4 linked regions of the Caenorhabditis elegans genome follow. The protein of the gene in region 1 purifies or fractionates together with the protein of each later gene. This does not show direct contact. Each region holds a gene or a part of one and is shown in the gene's direction. Other genes may lie near its edges. The genes, in order: osm-11, ZK550.6, acs-14 and nfu-1.

Region 1 (3,358 bases):
ACGTCTTGTCAGTTTCCACGCCGCCGCACCCTGAGAATATAAAGTTCGTGGGTGCTTTCTCATGCTTTCTCCTATGTACACCGTGATGACAGAAAGGAGAACAAGAGTGTCAAGATAGAAATGAAAAAAAAATCAAAAGCTTATCTAGAATCAAATTCAAAAGATGTCACTCAAAATGTTCAAAGTTGTTCCAAATTTAGACGCAACCTCAACCATTAAAAGTCAGGAGATACGGAAGGTGTTGGAGGTCGTACACAATCCATCACACGAAAAGAGAAACAAGACGTTGTTTCTAGAAGTGCCTTGATGAATGAATGACAGGGAAGGAGCAAAGGGCATGTTTTTTAGGGTAACAGGGGAAAAATACAGTTTTTCTGTGTTTCGAATTCTAACTTGGAGAAAACATTTGTCTCTGGTCTCATGTCTCAAGTTGGGCAGCTAATTCCGGACAGTAAAAACCTGAATCAAAGAACTGTTTCTTGCCAAGGAAGTTGTTACGGTATTATTGAATAGGATATGGAAATGAAAAAGAAAGACAGTTGCACGGATGTTTGCTTAATTGAAAGTAGTGGTTTGGTAAACACGGTGTTACAAAATAAAGCTTTGAGTAAAGAACATCTGACAGTAATCGTCATCTATAACTCTTTTGAAATGACGTTATGCTAGAAGCCACACATAGTTCAACTACGAAATAATTCTTCGTCGAATGATTAACTCATTCAATTCCCAAACTTCATTGTTCCTAGCTTATCATAACGTACTTACACTGAAAAAGCCTTGACCGCAAGATTGTTTTGGTCAGTCGCTAAAACAAAAACCATCAAAAAGTAAAAAAAAAGGTTTAAGAAACGTGACGACTATAACTTTTTTGTGTAGCAGTAGTCTGTGTTCCGCATGATGAAGTAATGAAATGGTGAAGTGAAGAATAAAGATTGCGTACAACGAGGGAAACACTAAAAATAGTTTATTTCTAAAGCAGTGATAACACGTAAAGAACGGGTGCATTATTTCTGTCTCCCATATCCCTTTTTAGACGTCCATCACGAGTCGTCGTCGAGTTTACGCGCACCACGGAGATGTTTGTGTCCGACGCTGTGCAGGGTACATGATAACGGCGTAGTAGCTGAAGATCGAAACACATCGACGACCTCGACGTACCCCCATCGGATGTCTTATACATCTTTCCTCACATCATCATCATCATCATTATCATTTTTCGACCACTATCTTCTCATCTTCAGAAAACTGTGTGCGACACTGGCTTCTCCATCACTCTAACCACAGGGCGATCATTAGAGATCCCATCCATCATCCGCCGAAAACCACGAAACCCTCTACACCGGTGCTGCTATTTCTCAATTCCGTTAGTCGCCGATACTTCAATCCTTCTTTCCCTCCTTCGGCCCTGATGATATTTTTAGAACAATCAGTTTATTCGGCGTCCTTCTCCCCACCGCGAGGCAATCTTCAAAGTTCCTAGGGGGCGGGACGCGCGCCCCGCGCCGCTTCCGACGACTCTCACAGACAAGGAAGGGCGGTATTGTGGGGCGGAGTTCACGCGAACGCATAAAAGGCGCCGATTTCAGATAGGCAGTACGCAGTTTCGACTTGCGAGATCAAGCAATTGAATCTCAAAAAAACACCGTTTCCAAAAATGAACTTTATTACCGTCGCCGCTCTCGCTATCGTTATGGTCTTGGCACAAGGTGAGCACATTTACAAAACTATAGAGAACATTCGATAACTTTCAAAGATATTAGACAATTACATCATTCTTTGTATTTTCAGCCAACCCTGCCCGTGTTCGTCGCAATGAGGAGATGTCCGAACGTTATTGCATCAAGCATCTTGACCACTACAACAAATACTGTGGAGACAACGCTGGACCAATTGACCGTGCTCTCTTTGGAAAGGTTGCCAAGTTCTGCCCAGCCTACGAAAAGCACTGTGCCGTTGGAAAGGCCGGACTCGTCGAGCTTCCAGACCTCGGCTCACCACTCGTTATGCCACCAGTCCTTCCAAGAGGATCCGACTTTGCCAGCCTCGATTTGCCAATCGCCGATGAGCGCAAGCCAGCCCACATCCACTCCTCAAGAACCGCTCCACAGACCACCCGTCTCACCGCCGCCATCGTAGCCACCTGCACTCCAGAATGCACCGCCGCTCACTGCACCGACGAGTGCAAGTGCGCCCACACTCATCCAAAGGTCCATCAAATGTGCAACCCACCATCTTCCGCTGCCATGGCCGAGACTTGCCAACGTTGGTACTCCAAGTGCACCATGTTCACTCCAGTGCAGTATTAAGCGTTGTTGTTAATATTGTAAATAGCAAAGCCGTTCCTCTATAGGGGGCCTTTAAGACATGCAATCGTTTTTGCCTAGGTGGGACCTACCTACTTTTAACATTTGTTTTTTTTCTTTTCTCACTCCTCCCCCAAATTTCCCTCTAATTGTTTTCTATGAGCTCGCACCCTAGTGCAATTATTTAATTTTTTATTTTTTTTTCTCTTTTTGGCCCCTCCTACCGATTCGCTAAGCTATTTAAGATCTCGATATCTTGAATCGTGTACATTTTTCGAAAGCTTATTAAAAAATAGCTAAAATAGCTAGATAACTGGTTAATCAGTTATCGCAGCGAATTGGATGGAAAGTATCGCTGGATAACTGATTAATTTCGTCCATACCTCCGCTTATGTGCTCTTTTGTGCTTCAATCCTGAATTTACCTGATCCGTAAATGATTTGTCTCAGTACTGTGTACCCTCCCCTGAAAAACGTTTGGCCCAGTGCTTGATTTTCTGATTAAGGAATTCAGTTGATAACGTTTAATAAAGACGACTCTTCTCTTTCATATCTTCTTGTTCTTTTCATTGACAATGCAAAAATAGTTAAACATGGTTTAAAACAGATACAGTAACAATCTTCTAAAGAAGGAAAAAAGAAGAAAGCAATACATCTTTGTCTTCTCCGAAAATAGACTATCTGAGAGTGTCGTACGATCAAACGCTTAACAAAAATCGTCTTTCGACGTCGCGTCTTCTTCTCCGTTCTTCCTCTTCCTTCTTCTCCTGTCACCACCATCGCCGTCTACACCGTGGGCTTCTGATGTATGATTACGATAGAACGAGATTCGGTGATGAAGTTTCTTTTGATAAATGGCTCGCTCTTTGAAGACAGTGTCAGAGAGAAGTATTATCATTGTCGTATCTTCTTCTTTTTCTCCTCAAACAACATGTTCTCCTTTCGAATATGTCAACAACTTCACAGCACAAACAATGACTTTTTGCAGGGAAACAAGGTGTGGCGGTGTGGTATGGGTTCTAACTTTTGAAAGTTGGTCTTTATTGTGTTGTGATT
Region 2 (4,302 bases), on another chromosome or scaffold:
CTATATCCGCATGCATCAGGGAACGTGCCAAATTTGAAAAATGTGTGTTTCTCAATCTCTAATCATTTATCATATGGTCATGACAACAACTGGTGTCAAGGTGTACGATAACGGTACACTGTGGCAATTGACACTCTTTTTTTCTTTATTTCTCTATTCAACAAGACTTGTATTTATTAAGAAAATGCAATGAGAGAGCGTGGTGATAAGACGGGTAATTCCCTCGCTTTTCTCATTTTTTGCGGTGTTGTGTTCGTGTCATTTGAGATAATCCATGTTGATTCCACTTTTATTGTTGATTTGATAGATGTTCCAAGTTTTTACTGCTTCCTGAAAGCATAATTCTTAAAAATAATGCTTCATAGCAGTTGTGGCTTCATACAATTTTCAAAAAAAAATTCACTGTTTCAAAAAAATTGAATTCAATTTCCTGCATTATGACGTACGTGTTAAAAAAATATGTTCACCTAAAAATTCCGCTCGAACTGTCGCGAAATCTGTGTTTCAGTGAAATAAAATAAAAACATCTAGACAAAATACAGTTCTCCTCAAAAATTGCTGTTTCAAAATAATAATTTAAAAAAAAACACCAAAGTGTCGTATTTAAATTTAAAAAAAAACTATCGTTTCAACAAAACAGGTTCAAATCTATTTTAGTATTAAAATCTATAACTTTATAAAATTTGCTATTTAGGTTTTACGAATTGTTGTTTTTTACTCTGAATTGTAAAATTACCGTTTCAAATATATTCTTCTAAATTCAAAAATTTAGTATACAATTTTTCTAGAAACATTGAAGTATTACCAGGAATTTTTGGATATTTCCTATAAATTCTATTTTGATCAATTTGTAGTTGTCTTATCATATATTGCATTGGATGATAATAGGAAATGATCCGATTCTCTTTCCTGTTCCAAAACTAGGTAAATGTACCTCATATATTTTGTTAATTTTGTAGTCACAATAACATGTTATGATAATAATATCGATAAAAAATATCGTGATGTTTAAACATTAAGTTTCATTTTTTTCGGTACTGTTCTAATTGTTCAAAACAATTTAAAAAATTTCGGTCAATTTATAGACAATACCGATTTTAATAATGAATGTAAAATTTTCACTGTTTCACTAATTTTATAACAATTTTCATTCCTTCCAATTCACATTGTGTTAGTGTAGTGATCATTACTTATATATTTTAAAAAAATAGGGTGTTAGTTTTTTCCGTTTGTCTGTTTGTTTCCGTGACGTCACAACGCATGAGACCCATTTTGGCGCAAATTCAAATTTCTTCAGAAAAATTTTGGTGCAAACTCAAATTTCTTCAGAAAAATTTTAGCGGGAATTCAAATTTCTTCTGAAAATTTTGGTGGGATTTCAAATTTGTTCAGAAAAATTTTGGTGCAAATTCAAATTTCTTCAGAAATATTTTGGTGGTTTTTTCTTCCGCGCCGGAGGCGCGATCAGCAGCTAGTTTTCAAATAAATTTACTGTTTCAAAAATACGATATTTTTTGCCTAATTTTTGAGAATATCACTATGACGTCTAAACGTAAAGCGATTCCATAATCTACTTCAAAATTCCAGGCTCCCCAAATGCTTGGCAAAGGTGTCGTTGATTATACCCGGGAAGGGTCAATTTTGAGTGCCGAGCAGAGGCGATTCTACGAGAAAAATGGATATCTGTTGATTCGAAACTGTGTTCCACAGTACGAATTGAACAGGTTCCGACAAAGATTTCAGGTGAGCAAATGCGCCCGGCTGCATAATTTTTGACTATAGGCTGGGATTAATAGTCCACAAAAATTGATGGGGCCTAAAGTTTCAGTTTTATTTCGACAATTTTTAATTTTGCGTCGAAGTATTTTTCAACCTGACTGCAACGAATTTTTTTACAAAGTTGTGACGTCACAATTTTCTAAAAATGTATTTTCAGGACATTTGCGAGAAAAAAGTAAAAGCTCCAGAAAACATGACCGTCATGAAAGACATTTCCATCGCAAAATCCGAATTCAAAGACGGTGAGAAGGCGATCACCAAGATCCAGGATTTTGCAGATGATCCAGTTCTTTTTGAGTACTGTAAGTATCCGGGAGTTGTCGATGTGGTGAAGGACTTGATTGGAAATCCAAAGTCGAATTTGATGGCAATGCATACAATGCTTATCAATAAACCACCAGATAATGGTAAGTTTTGAACTTTAAATTGTATTAGGATTTACTAGAAAATGTTAATTAAAATAAGACACGTTAAATAAAAAAGTTTGAAACAAATTTTTTTTTGATAATTATGAAACATGTCCAAAATTATCTTAAATTGTTATTTGTTTTGCCAAACCACACTCCTAACTGTAAAAAAATTGAAGAACGTAAAATATCTTGAATAGTCTATAAAGAGTTGTGAAAATTCGAAAATCAGTAATTCAAAAAAATTTTGAAAAAAATTCAAAATTTTCTACTGTTTCAAAATCGGTTCAAAAAATGAAAGTATTTTGAGAAGTTTACTGCTTATATCGTTCACAGAACAAAATTACAGAACATTTAATAATCAAGTTCTAATTATCATATTTAAGGAAAACTAACATCCCGGCACCCAATGCACCAAGATCTTCAATATTTCCCATTCCGTCCAGCAGATTTTATTTGTTGTGCTTGGACCGCAATGGAGAAGATCACAAGAGCAAATGGATGTCTGGTTGTTGTTCCCGGAACTCATAAAGGTGTTCTTTTGCCACACGAGTACCCGAAATGGGAGGTAAGTCCGCTAAGCTGAGTTTTGGTTTGGTTTGGTTTTGGCAGAGCTATTTACCACGTTGAATTCTTGTTTGAAAACTTGAAATTAAGTAATTTGAGAAAATTTGAGAAAAAAACAGCTAAACGAGCGAGCTAATATTTGACAGAGAAAAAGCCTAAGCTTGAGCCCGAGCTTAAGCGTAAGTCTAAGCTTCAGGATTACCCGAAGACTAGGTTTAAGCTTGCGCATAAGTCCACGTCTGAAGTTCGCTCTCAAAAAGTTCCTTATTTTCAGGGTGGTGTGAACAAAGCCTATCACGGAATCCAGGACTATGACACGTCGACGCCACGTATCCACGTGGAAATGGAACCCGGAGATACCGTATTCTTTCATCCAATTCTTATTCATGGTTCCGGAGCCAATAGAACTGAAGGTAACCATTTTTGAAACTTTGGAAAAAATTAAACAAGAAATTACTGTTTCAATGCTTTGATATAAAAACTATGAATCTCACAATTGTCGGTAAACTCTTCTAAAAAAGATATTTTTGCTTCTAACACAAATTTTCCCATCCTTTCGTTACTGTTTCAATGTTTTTATACAAAAAATGAAAATTCGCAGTAAATACTAATTTATTTTTAAAAGTTCAAATTCTTCTTAAATTGAGAACTCCCAGCTACAAAAATGCGTTGGACACGGGAGTTTCGGTGCAAAACAAAATTTTTTTCAGGATTCCGCAAAGCGATCTCCTGTCACTACGCAAATGACGACCTCTGCCGTTATGTAAACGTCGAGGGTACAACTCAAGAGACATTGGCAGAGGAGATCATCGAAATCGCCAAGAAGCGTCTGACAAGATATGGTCTCGACCCGAATACTGTAACCTTGGATTTCGCGGACATTTGGAGGGTTCGCGCCAGAGAGGTCAATGGGCGCAGATCTAATTTGTGATTTTTATGTTTAAAACTGTGAAATCGATCAGAGTTTGTCGATAATTTTTGTAATGTATTTCAGTTAATAAATTAACATTTTGAAAGCGAGTTTTTTCTTGAATTTTTGAAAAAAAAACAAATCATAAATACGTGAACAATTTCGTCAAAACATTTTTTTGCACAATTTTTTTCCCACTAACTTTGATAATATTGCTACATTGAATTCCAAATGAGTACTAAAAATAAGCGAGACTTGGGCAGAAGCTCAGAACTCAGAACTATTTAAACGAGAATTAATTACAGAAATGCGTTAAAATATTTATTTGTTTTGATGTCAGATATTAGTTTATTGAATTTATAAAACTTTCAGAAAAAAAAGACGTAAAAAACCAGTTTTCACTTATCCGTATTTTGGATGTCGACCAAAAAAAAAATAGCTACGAGTTTCACGTTTTGATTGTAATTTCTGGAATGTTCTAGGACATTTTGACGAATTCCAGAAAATTTTGAATTGTTCTAGGACCTCCTAAAAATTGAGAAGTTGAAAAATTTTAGAAAATTTTGGAACGCTCTATAATCTGCTGGAAACTTTGACAAAATTATGGAATGCTCTAAATCAGTTTAAAAACTCGATAGA
Region 3 (4,795 bases), on another chromosome or scaffold:
TAGATAATCTGAATCAAAACTCAAAATTGAGCTCTCTATTTTTCAGGGGAAATGTTCATGTTGCCAGCAAGAGTAGAACATTCACCTCAAAGATTTTCCAACTCTATTGGTCTTGTCGTTGAACGTGAACGAAAGAATACTGAATTTGATTGTGTTCGATTTCTTGTTGGTTCTTCCAATATCACACTCTTTGAAAGATGGTTCTATTTGACTGATGTTGTCAAGGATTTACCTCCATTAATCAAAGAATTTTATGGATCGAATGAATTCAAAACTGGTTGGTTTGTAGTTGTGTGAGCTCACCGATTTTTTGTTTCAGGTAAACCAGGAAAAGGAACATTTGCATGCAATGCTCCATACGAAGCAAGATGGACTGATTTACCCGTACCTATTAATAGAAAAGAATTTATCTATGATCATATCAGTGAAGTGAAGTAAGAAATTAGTTGGTTTTGTTTCGGATAGTTAATTTGAGAAGTTTTCAGAAACGGACCAGTGAGAATTTATGGAGCACCTGAGTACAAAACTGAAGTTATGTTGCTAGGAGAGGGATCTTATGATTTGGAAAGTGGAACTGTAGAGTTGCTAATTTGGTTGCAGGTATGGCAAAAACAGAAAAATCCCAAAAAAAATTCATGTATCATTTAGGAAAACACATTTGCGGTCGTAGAAGAGAGCGGGTTCACTTATGCAATGAAATCGGAGACCATGGTTAGGATAAAACCGAACACAAAGTAAGAATACGGAATTATAGGTTCTTTGAAATAATTTTGTTTTAGGTGTCTTCTTAATGTCAAAGGAGGATTTGCTATCACCATCAGAATGCCAGCATAATTTTTTTTTTCAATTTTGTAAAAGTCAATTTCCATATAGGCTGATTGAATGAATGCTTTTTTCAATATTTCTATCTTTATTCCAAAATGTAATTTCAATTTTGATTTATAACAAAATGAATGACATGCAATCGTGGCCAACTGATAACATCAATTCCGTTTCATTATCATCGATGTCAAATGTCTCGTGTAACACACGCTGTCGGTTCAGCAAAACCATCATGTTCTTCAAAGCTTCAGAAAATTTGTACTTTCAGACCTCGTTGTTCGTTTCAGGAAATTATGTCACTGTAAAAACTGTAAAATTGGTTAAAAATACAAAGAATCCAATTTTTGTTTTGTAGTTAGTTTACATAACTATTTTTAGTATGATTTCTATTTCATTAGAAAAAAAAACGTTAACTCATTCCGAAAATTTTTTAGCAGAAAAATAATAAATGCCTTTTAGCCGTAATTTTCAAAGGGGTTGTTTTTAAATTTGATGGGGAAGATTGAAAATAATAACTTAAAATAACTTCTCGGTTGGAAAAAAACTATAATTTAGAAAATGTTCACAATACCTCATTTTTTACTGTCAAATCGTCACGAGAACTTTGATTGTTGAAATTTGGCCAGTACTTCCTTGTTTTGAGCATCTTTTTAATATGATCAATGACGTACAATCCAAGTTTCAGATCTTTAAAAACATCTGATTACGATTACAGATCTTTTATTTTATTGTTCATAGCCCATTTTTCGTTTTGCAACCCTTATCATTAATATGCCCTTTTTGTGTACATTTATTCTTTTTCTTTCGTTGTCTTCATTGAGTATTAACTGAAATTGTCTAGGATTATGAGCATCGGAAACTGAAATGATAAGTATTTCCCGCGCTCATGTGGTTTTTTTTTTAATTTTCTAACGGTTTTTCCTCAACAGTTGAATCAATGTTATAAATTGCCAAAAAACAAAGACTACAATAAATGGACCACATTATAACGTCTAAGCACTGTAGTTTTCCTATTTACTATTATCAACTGTCGTCTTTATCAGTCTCTATCTTTTTCTAAATTGACCTTCGGCCACACTGTAGGCTACCCATGCTGTCCTCTTGCCCAGTTCTTATATTTTGATTGTTATTGCTAAATTCATTTATTTTTCAAACTTCAGCCATGCCACACGACTCTACATATCCACCAGTGAAGATTTCCGAGCGTCCGTACCATGAGATGCTCCTTGATGCAATTGATAAAACAATTGCCGATGGAAAGAATAAAATTGCATTTGTGAGCGGAGATAATCCAAAACATTTCATTACTTTTGAACAACTTCGTAAGGATGCTTTTGCTGTCGCTATGTATCTTCATAGCATTGGGTTCAAGGTATGTGGCATTATGTTAAAAATTTGGGAATTTTATAATTCAACAAGAGAAAGGAAGTATTTCAAAAATCTTTCAATTTGTTCAAGACAATGCCTTAAATTTTTGATATCTTTTAGAAAGATGTTGCTGCTGTTGTTCTTCCAAACGTCTGGCACTATACTTCATTTTTCATTGGATGTGCCATCAACGGTGGAGCTGTATCTGGAGCTAGTGCACTTTTCACTGACTGTAAGTTAAATTGATGAAAGTTACTTTCACCAACCCGCAATTTCTGTTTTCAGATGAGCTTCAACGTCAATTTGTTGATTCTCGCGCAAAGGTTGTTTTTACTTACGAAGATTTTCTTCCAAAAGTTCTTCTTGCTGTGAAGCAATCGCCAAACATCCAAAAGATCATTGTCATCCCAAAACCAGTTGGATCTTCTCTTCCAGCAGGAGTTGTATCTTGGAATGAAGTGGTTTCAACTCCAGTCACTGCTCTACCACAAGTTCCAATTGATGTTCACAATGATTTACTCGTTCTTCCATACTCGAGTGGTACCACTGGACCACCAAAGGGTGTTATGCTATCACACTACAATTTTACATCCATGATCTCCATGTATCTTGCGTAAGTTTGAAATTTAAAGATGATGATGATGAGACAGAATAGGTGTGAAAGTACAAAGTTAACAGTAAAATGGTTACACTTTAACCTTCCTATGACGCAAAAAAAGATAAGGGCCAAGAAAACAATTTCATAGATCAATACAGAAGAATCAGTATAACGTTATGTACATTTTTTGAAAAGTAATTGAAAAAAAACGAAAATATAATTAGGTTCATATACGACACAACTTTCAGAATTGATAAATCACACATTTTGGATGTTCTTGATCCAAATTGGGACTGCTACAATGAGAAAGCTCTCTTGTTTCTTCCATTCTATCATGTCTATGGATTTGGTCTTCTTAATCACTGTCTTCTCAAGGGAATGACTGGAATTGTCATGAGCCATTTTGAGCCGAATAATTTTTTGACTGCCGTTCAAAACTACAAAGTATAGAATCAAAAGTTCATAAATAACATTTTTAATTTAATTCTTTAGGTCCGCTGTCTTTGCCTAGTTCCACCAATTATGGTTTTCTTGGCCAAGCATCCAATTTGCGATAAGTTTGATCTATCATCAGTGCAAATGATAATGGCGGGAGCAGCTCCAGCTGGAAAGGATTTGATTGAAGAATTGAAGAGGAAGTATACAAATTTGAAATACATCCAACAAGGATATGGAATGACGGAATGTTCAATGGCTAGTCATCTTCCTGATTTAAGAAATGATCAACCATATGGATCCGTTGGAAAACTTGCTTCAAATTTGGTTATGAAGGTGAGAATTTCCGAATCAAGTTTTTCAATGTTTAAAAGGAAACAAAAGTATTCAATTTATACAAAAGTTATTCAGATTGTGGAACCAGGAACCGACAGAGAGCAACCGGTTAACCAACGAGGAGAAATTTGTGTTCGTGGTCCAACAATTATGCTTGGGTATCTCGGAAGACCAGAAGCAACAGCCAGCACTGTCATCGATGGATGGCTTCACACTGGAGACATTGGTTATCTCAATGAGGATGGAAATTTGTTTATTGTTGATCGACTTAAAGAGCTAATCAAGGTCAAAGGGCTTCAAGTACCACCAGCTGAACTTGAAGATCTTCTTCTATCTCATCCAAAGATTAGAGATTGTGCAGTTATTGGAATCCCAGATGCTAAAGCTGGAGAATTACCTAAAGCATTTGTTGTAAGAGCTGATAACACTCTCACTGAACAAGAAGTTAAGGACTTTGTTAAACGTAAGTTATGAATAGTGCATTTTCTGTATAACTATAATACTTTCAGCAAAAGTGTCTCCTTACAAACAACTCGAAGGTGGTGTCGAATTTATTGAAGAAATTCCAAAGTCCGCAGCTGGAAAGATTTTGAGACGATTCTTGAGAGATCGTTCTTCAGCCAAGCTTTAAATGTTTTTTTGTACATTAACTTTATTGATATTAATTTTTCATGGTTTTTTCTCAAAGTAATTGAATGATTATACAGGAGTAGAACAAACATTACAAGTAACTGGGCAAGCATATTCAATACGTAGCTTATCATCAGTTTCACAAAGTCCTGAAGATTTATAATCGGCACAGTTTGACAAACGATCCACACAACTTCCGGCTTGCTTTCCACAAAATCCACAAGAAGACGCACAATTGTATTTCATGATTGCTTTTTGAGAACTAACTGATGTACAAAGATCAAGAGTTTTGAACAAATCACAGTTTGGATGAAGATCACGGCATTGGCAGAAGATGAGTGGAAAAATAATGGAAACTAGAAGAAATACAGGAAAAATCATTGATGGTTGAAATAGCAGAAGAGGAAAATGGGAATAGTTGGTTGAGAATATGAAGTTGACTATCGGAACATGGGAATGGAAAAAAATATGTTCATGTGAAAATAAATTGCCCTTATGCAAATAGTTTTATTCATGACTTTTACTAGTAAGTGAACAGCTGAATATGTACAGATTGCTCAAAGGTATAGCTTAGATATTGTGAAAAATGTTAAAAGTACTCTTTTG
Region 4 (3,223 bases), on another chromosome or scaffold:
ACCCCTGTTTGCAAGATCTCAATCGAATTCTGTTGCTAATAGCACTTCCACGAATATTCAACAGCAACAACAACAGCAAATTCAACACCTTCAACAGCAGCAAGCACTACAACAACAACAGCAAAGGATTCAGCAATTCCAGCAACAATACCAACAGCATCAGTCTCAAAGTTCTCAGCAACCAAGTGACTTGATGTCTTCAAAGTTTTCAATGCTACAATCACAACAACAGCAGCAGCAACTTTACAATCAGATGCAGTCGCTAGGTCAAGATGGACAGGGATCCAATCTGTATAACCATGTAGGGATCCGTGATTTATGTCTGAAAATACGTTATTTGATTTATTTGCAGCTTGCCGCCCAATTATTGACTCATCAAGAGAGTTCTACAGGAGCACCTGGTCCAACAAGTAGTCAACTTGCAAATAGCTACTATCCATCACCTTCGTATACGGATGCCAGTGTTTTAGGGCAAATTAGCATGCCGTCATTGTCACAGAGAGGAATAAAGCAATTTGATGGATTTAATGTAAGTTTAGGACAAATTTGATGTTAAGATAGCAGGATCAGTTTAAAAATTAATGAATGGAAATTTAGAATGACTCTGATGGCGTTATTGCTGCTATTCTCGAGCAACAACAACAACAGAAGAAACAAGGACTCGCACAACAATCGTTCATGCATAACTCTCAACAGCCACAGCCGTTCGGAGCTCCCAGCAACGCTTCTGCAAATCAATCGCGACTCGGAATGATCCAACCTCGGCCCCAACCGCCACCATTTGTTGCTCCACAAGCTCCACCTGGATTCTCTTCTCTTGGAAATGCATCTTCCACGACGAACCCATCTCGAACTTCTATGCAGCAAATGTATCAGCAATACGGACAGAGTTCACAGCAACAGCCTTACGGTCAGATGCCTCAAGCGTAAGTTCTACGATTTCTAATTAAATATTTGTTTATTTATTACAGAATGGATTGGAACCGACTTGGACAGCAACAGCAGTCTGCATCTGGCCAACAAAATCATCAGTCATCCTCGTCAAATAAATGGTCTTCCAACTGGTAGATATCGCTCACAAAATCGTCTTCTTGTCAATTAGTCCCCCCTCCCCTCATAATAATTCGGTGTTTACTTGTTTTTTATTCAACCGTGAAACAATATGTCTTCCCGGTTGAATTGCATCCATTTTTCTTTATTTCGTCTCCTCGTTCCGGGTTTTGTAACACTTTTTCTTCATTTTAAATCTAGCCTTTTTTGGTCCATTTTTTCTTTCAACTCTCAAATGTTCGATCTTTCCCATCCCTAGCAAGTGTTTTCTTGCGAGCTCAGCCTTGTGGAAATTGTACTCTTCTGTCCAAATTATTCCCGTTTACCCATTTTTTGTTCTTTTTATATCTCCCCCGACATACTACTTCTTTTTTTTCGGTTATTTTTCAAGTCTTCCAACACAACACATATGTATTTGAGACGGATGTCAAATGGTCCCAACTTTTTCTTCCCTTTATTGAAAAGTGTGTCTTATTTTTCACTTTTGATGTTTTACTCGTTGTTTCATATGAAACCTGGGCATTTATTTCATTGCTAATTAATTATGACTTTCTTCGCTTTATGTTGATCCATGAATCGTGATTCTTGAAAGTATACAGGTTAGGCTATTGAAATGTACAACTCGAGGTTTTGATTCCTATATCTTGAGAATTAAGTCGGTAGATGTTGAAAGAACAAAAATTTTCAGAAAAATGATTTCATCAAAAATGCTCACAAGACTGAACCGGAGCTTTGTACAAGCAGGTGATACTGGTTCCAGAAATTCTTTCATTTTTTAAAATTTCAGCTCGATCAATGTATATTCAAGTTCAGGAGACACCTAATCCACTTTCTTTAAAATTTTTACCTGGTTAGTGGAAACTTCACTGTTTAAAATCTGAAATGTAGTATTTCAGGTCAACAGCTTCTCCCAGACGCCTCGAAAACATACGATTTCAGCTCAGCGGCTACAGCAAAACAAAGTCCACTTGCTATGTAAGGAATATTCCAAATTTTAACTACCATTCAGATAAAATAGTATTTATTTGTAAATTTTCAGAAAACTTCTTCGAGTCGACGGAGTGAAGCGTGTGTTCTTCGGAGAAGATTTTGTAACTGTCACGAAATCAGATGAGACTGTTGACTGGGCTCTCCTCCGTCCGGAAATCTTCTCAACAATTGCTGATCACATTCAAACCGGAAAACCTGTCATAAATGAAGCTGCAACTGTTTCCGACCAAGTGGAAGAAGATGATGAAGTTGTAATGATGATCAAAGAAATTCTAGAGACACGTATCAGACCAATGGTACAAGAAGATGGTGGAGATATCACTTATGTTGGTTTTGACGATGGTGTTGTCAAATTGAAGATGCAAGGTTCATGCACAGGATGTCCAAGCTCTGGAGTCACTTTAAAAAATGGAATTGAGAATATGCTCACATTCTACGTGCCTGAAGTGAAGGAAGTTATCGAAGTTAAGGATGAATCCGATGATCTTGTGGAACAAGAGTTGAAGAAATTTGAGCAATCAAAAGGAATCAAAGACTAATTGATAATTGATTCGTGTATAACTAGATTTGTTTTTATTAGTGTTTGCTGCTAGAGATAAATGTTCAATGAATATTTATAAAAACTTTTTTATTACTTTGAAAGTCGTATTAGTAGAATTGGTTTATGACTCTGAAATCATCGAATCACGTCAAAGTTCAACGGCCCAGTCCAAATCAGTGATATCAGTTAAAAGACTTATCACCCGGAAAAGTGGAAAATTGTGCTTCGTAAATTGATAAGAAATCAGTCAGAGTGCTGCTCAAAATGTTGAAACAAATTCTTCTCGTCGCTATTATTTTAAATTTAGGAGTATCTGCGTATAAGAAGAAAAGCTTGATTCATGTTAGTTTTTTTTTCAAGTTTTTGAATTTTCAATGTTATCCAGACGCGGAATTTTGCTATTTTTGCGGCTGGTTCGGTTTCTGAACGACATCATTTTAATAAATGCGGAAGGTACGCGCCTTTAAAGTGAACTGTATATCCAAACTTTATTTGCTGCGGTCAATTCTTCATAGTTTTTCGAGAAAAATATGTTTTTTTATTTATTAAACAAACTACATTTTGAAATCAAAATACAAAAATCTTCAGAAAAACATGAGACAACAACTTTTGCATTTATCAAAATTTTATCGTGACGAGACC

The links.
Region 2: the proteins of osm-11 (region 1) and ZK550.6 fractionate together in Caenorhabditis elegans (co-fractionation; one large-scale study listed by BioGRID). This does not show direct contact.
Region 3: the proteins of osm-11 (region 1) and acs-14 fractionate together in Caenorhabditis elegans (co-fractionation; one large-scale study listed by BioGRID). This does not show direct contact.
Region 4: the proteins of osm-11 (region 1) and nfu-1 fractionate together in Caenorhabditis elegans (co-fractionation; one large-scale study listed by BioGRID). This does not show direct contact.

What each region holds. Positions count from the first base shown.
Region 1 is NC_003284.9:17,419,704-17,423,061, reverse strand, and holds osm-11 (Notch ligand osm-11), read left to right. Parts: upstream 1-1,593; 5' UTR 1,594-1,654; coding exon 1,655-1,706; intron 1,707-1,788; coding exon 1,789-2,306; 3' UTR 2,307-2,851; downstream 2,852-3,358. UniProt on the Caenorhabditis elegans protein: Probable secreted lin-12/Notch ligand or co-ligand involved in the mediation of Notch signaling. Involved in the lin-12/Notch pathway signaling of cell fate in vulval precursor cells (VPCs), acting redundantly with dsl-1 and lag-2.
Region 2 is NC_003282.8:17,259,771-17,264,072, reverse strand, and holds ZK550.6 (putative phytanoyl-CoA dioxygenase), read left to right. Parts: upstream 1-1,587; 5' UTR 1,588-1,596; coding exon 1,597-1,743; intron 1,744-1,936; coding exon 1,937-2,186; intron 2,187-2,206; exon of another isoform or gene 2,207-2,227; intron 2,228-2,504; exon of another isoform or gene 2,505-2,528; intron 2,529-2,572; coding exon 2,573-2,754; intron 2,755-3,027; coding exon 3,028-3,166; intron 3,167-3,463; coding exon 3,464-3,684; 3' UTR 3,685-3,766; downstream 3,767-4,302. UniProt on the Caenorhabditis elegans protein: Converts phytanoyl-CoA to 2-hydroxyphytanoyl-CoA.
Region 3 is NC_003283.11:9,506,150-9,510,944, forward strand, and holds acs-14 (4-coumarate--CoA ligase), read left to right. Parts: upstream 1-1,982; 5' UTR 1,983-1,984; coding exon 1,985-2,194; intron 2,195-2,310; coding exon 2,311-2,422; intron 2,423-2,475; coding exon 2,476-2,803; intron 2,804-3,036; coding exon 3,037-3,232; intron 3,233-3,280; coding exon 3,281-3,559; intron 3,560-3,634; coding exon 3,635-4,022; intron 4,023-4,068; coding exon 4,069-4,190; 3' UTR 4,191-4,229; downstream 4,230-4,795. Other genes in the region: haao-1 (3-hydroxyanthranilate 3,4-dioxygenase), read left to right, coding at 47-277, 320-434, 486-600, 649-734, 780-834.
Region 4 is NC_003282.8:10,385,675-10,388,897, forward strand, and holds nfu-1 (NFU1 iron-sulfur cluster scaffold homolog, mitochondrial), read left to right. Parts: upstream 1-1,738; 5' UTR 1,739-1,742; coding exon 1,743-1,794; intron 1,795-1,837; coding exon 1,838-1,900; intron 1,901-1,946; coding exon 1,947-2,025; intron 2,026-2,089; coding exon 2,090-2,579; 3' UTR 2,580-2,677; downstream 2,678-3,223. Other genes in the region: Ankyrin repeat and KH domain-containing protein mask-1, read left to right, coding at 1-301, 353-529, 598-926, 972-1,068; R10H10.3 (CUB domain-containing protein), read left to right, coding at 2,846-2,923.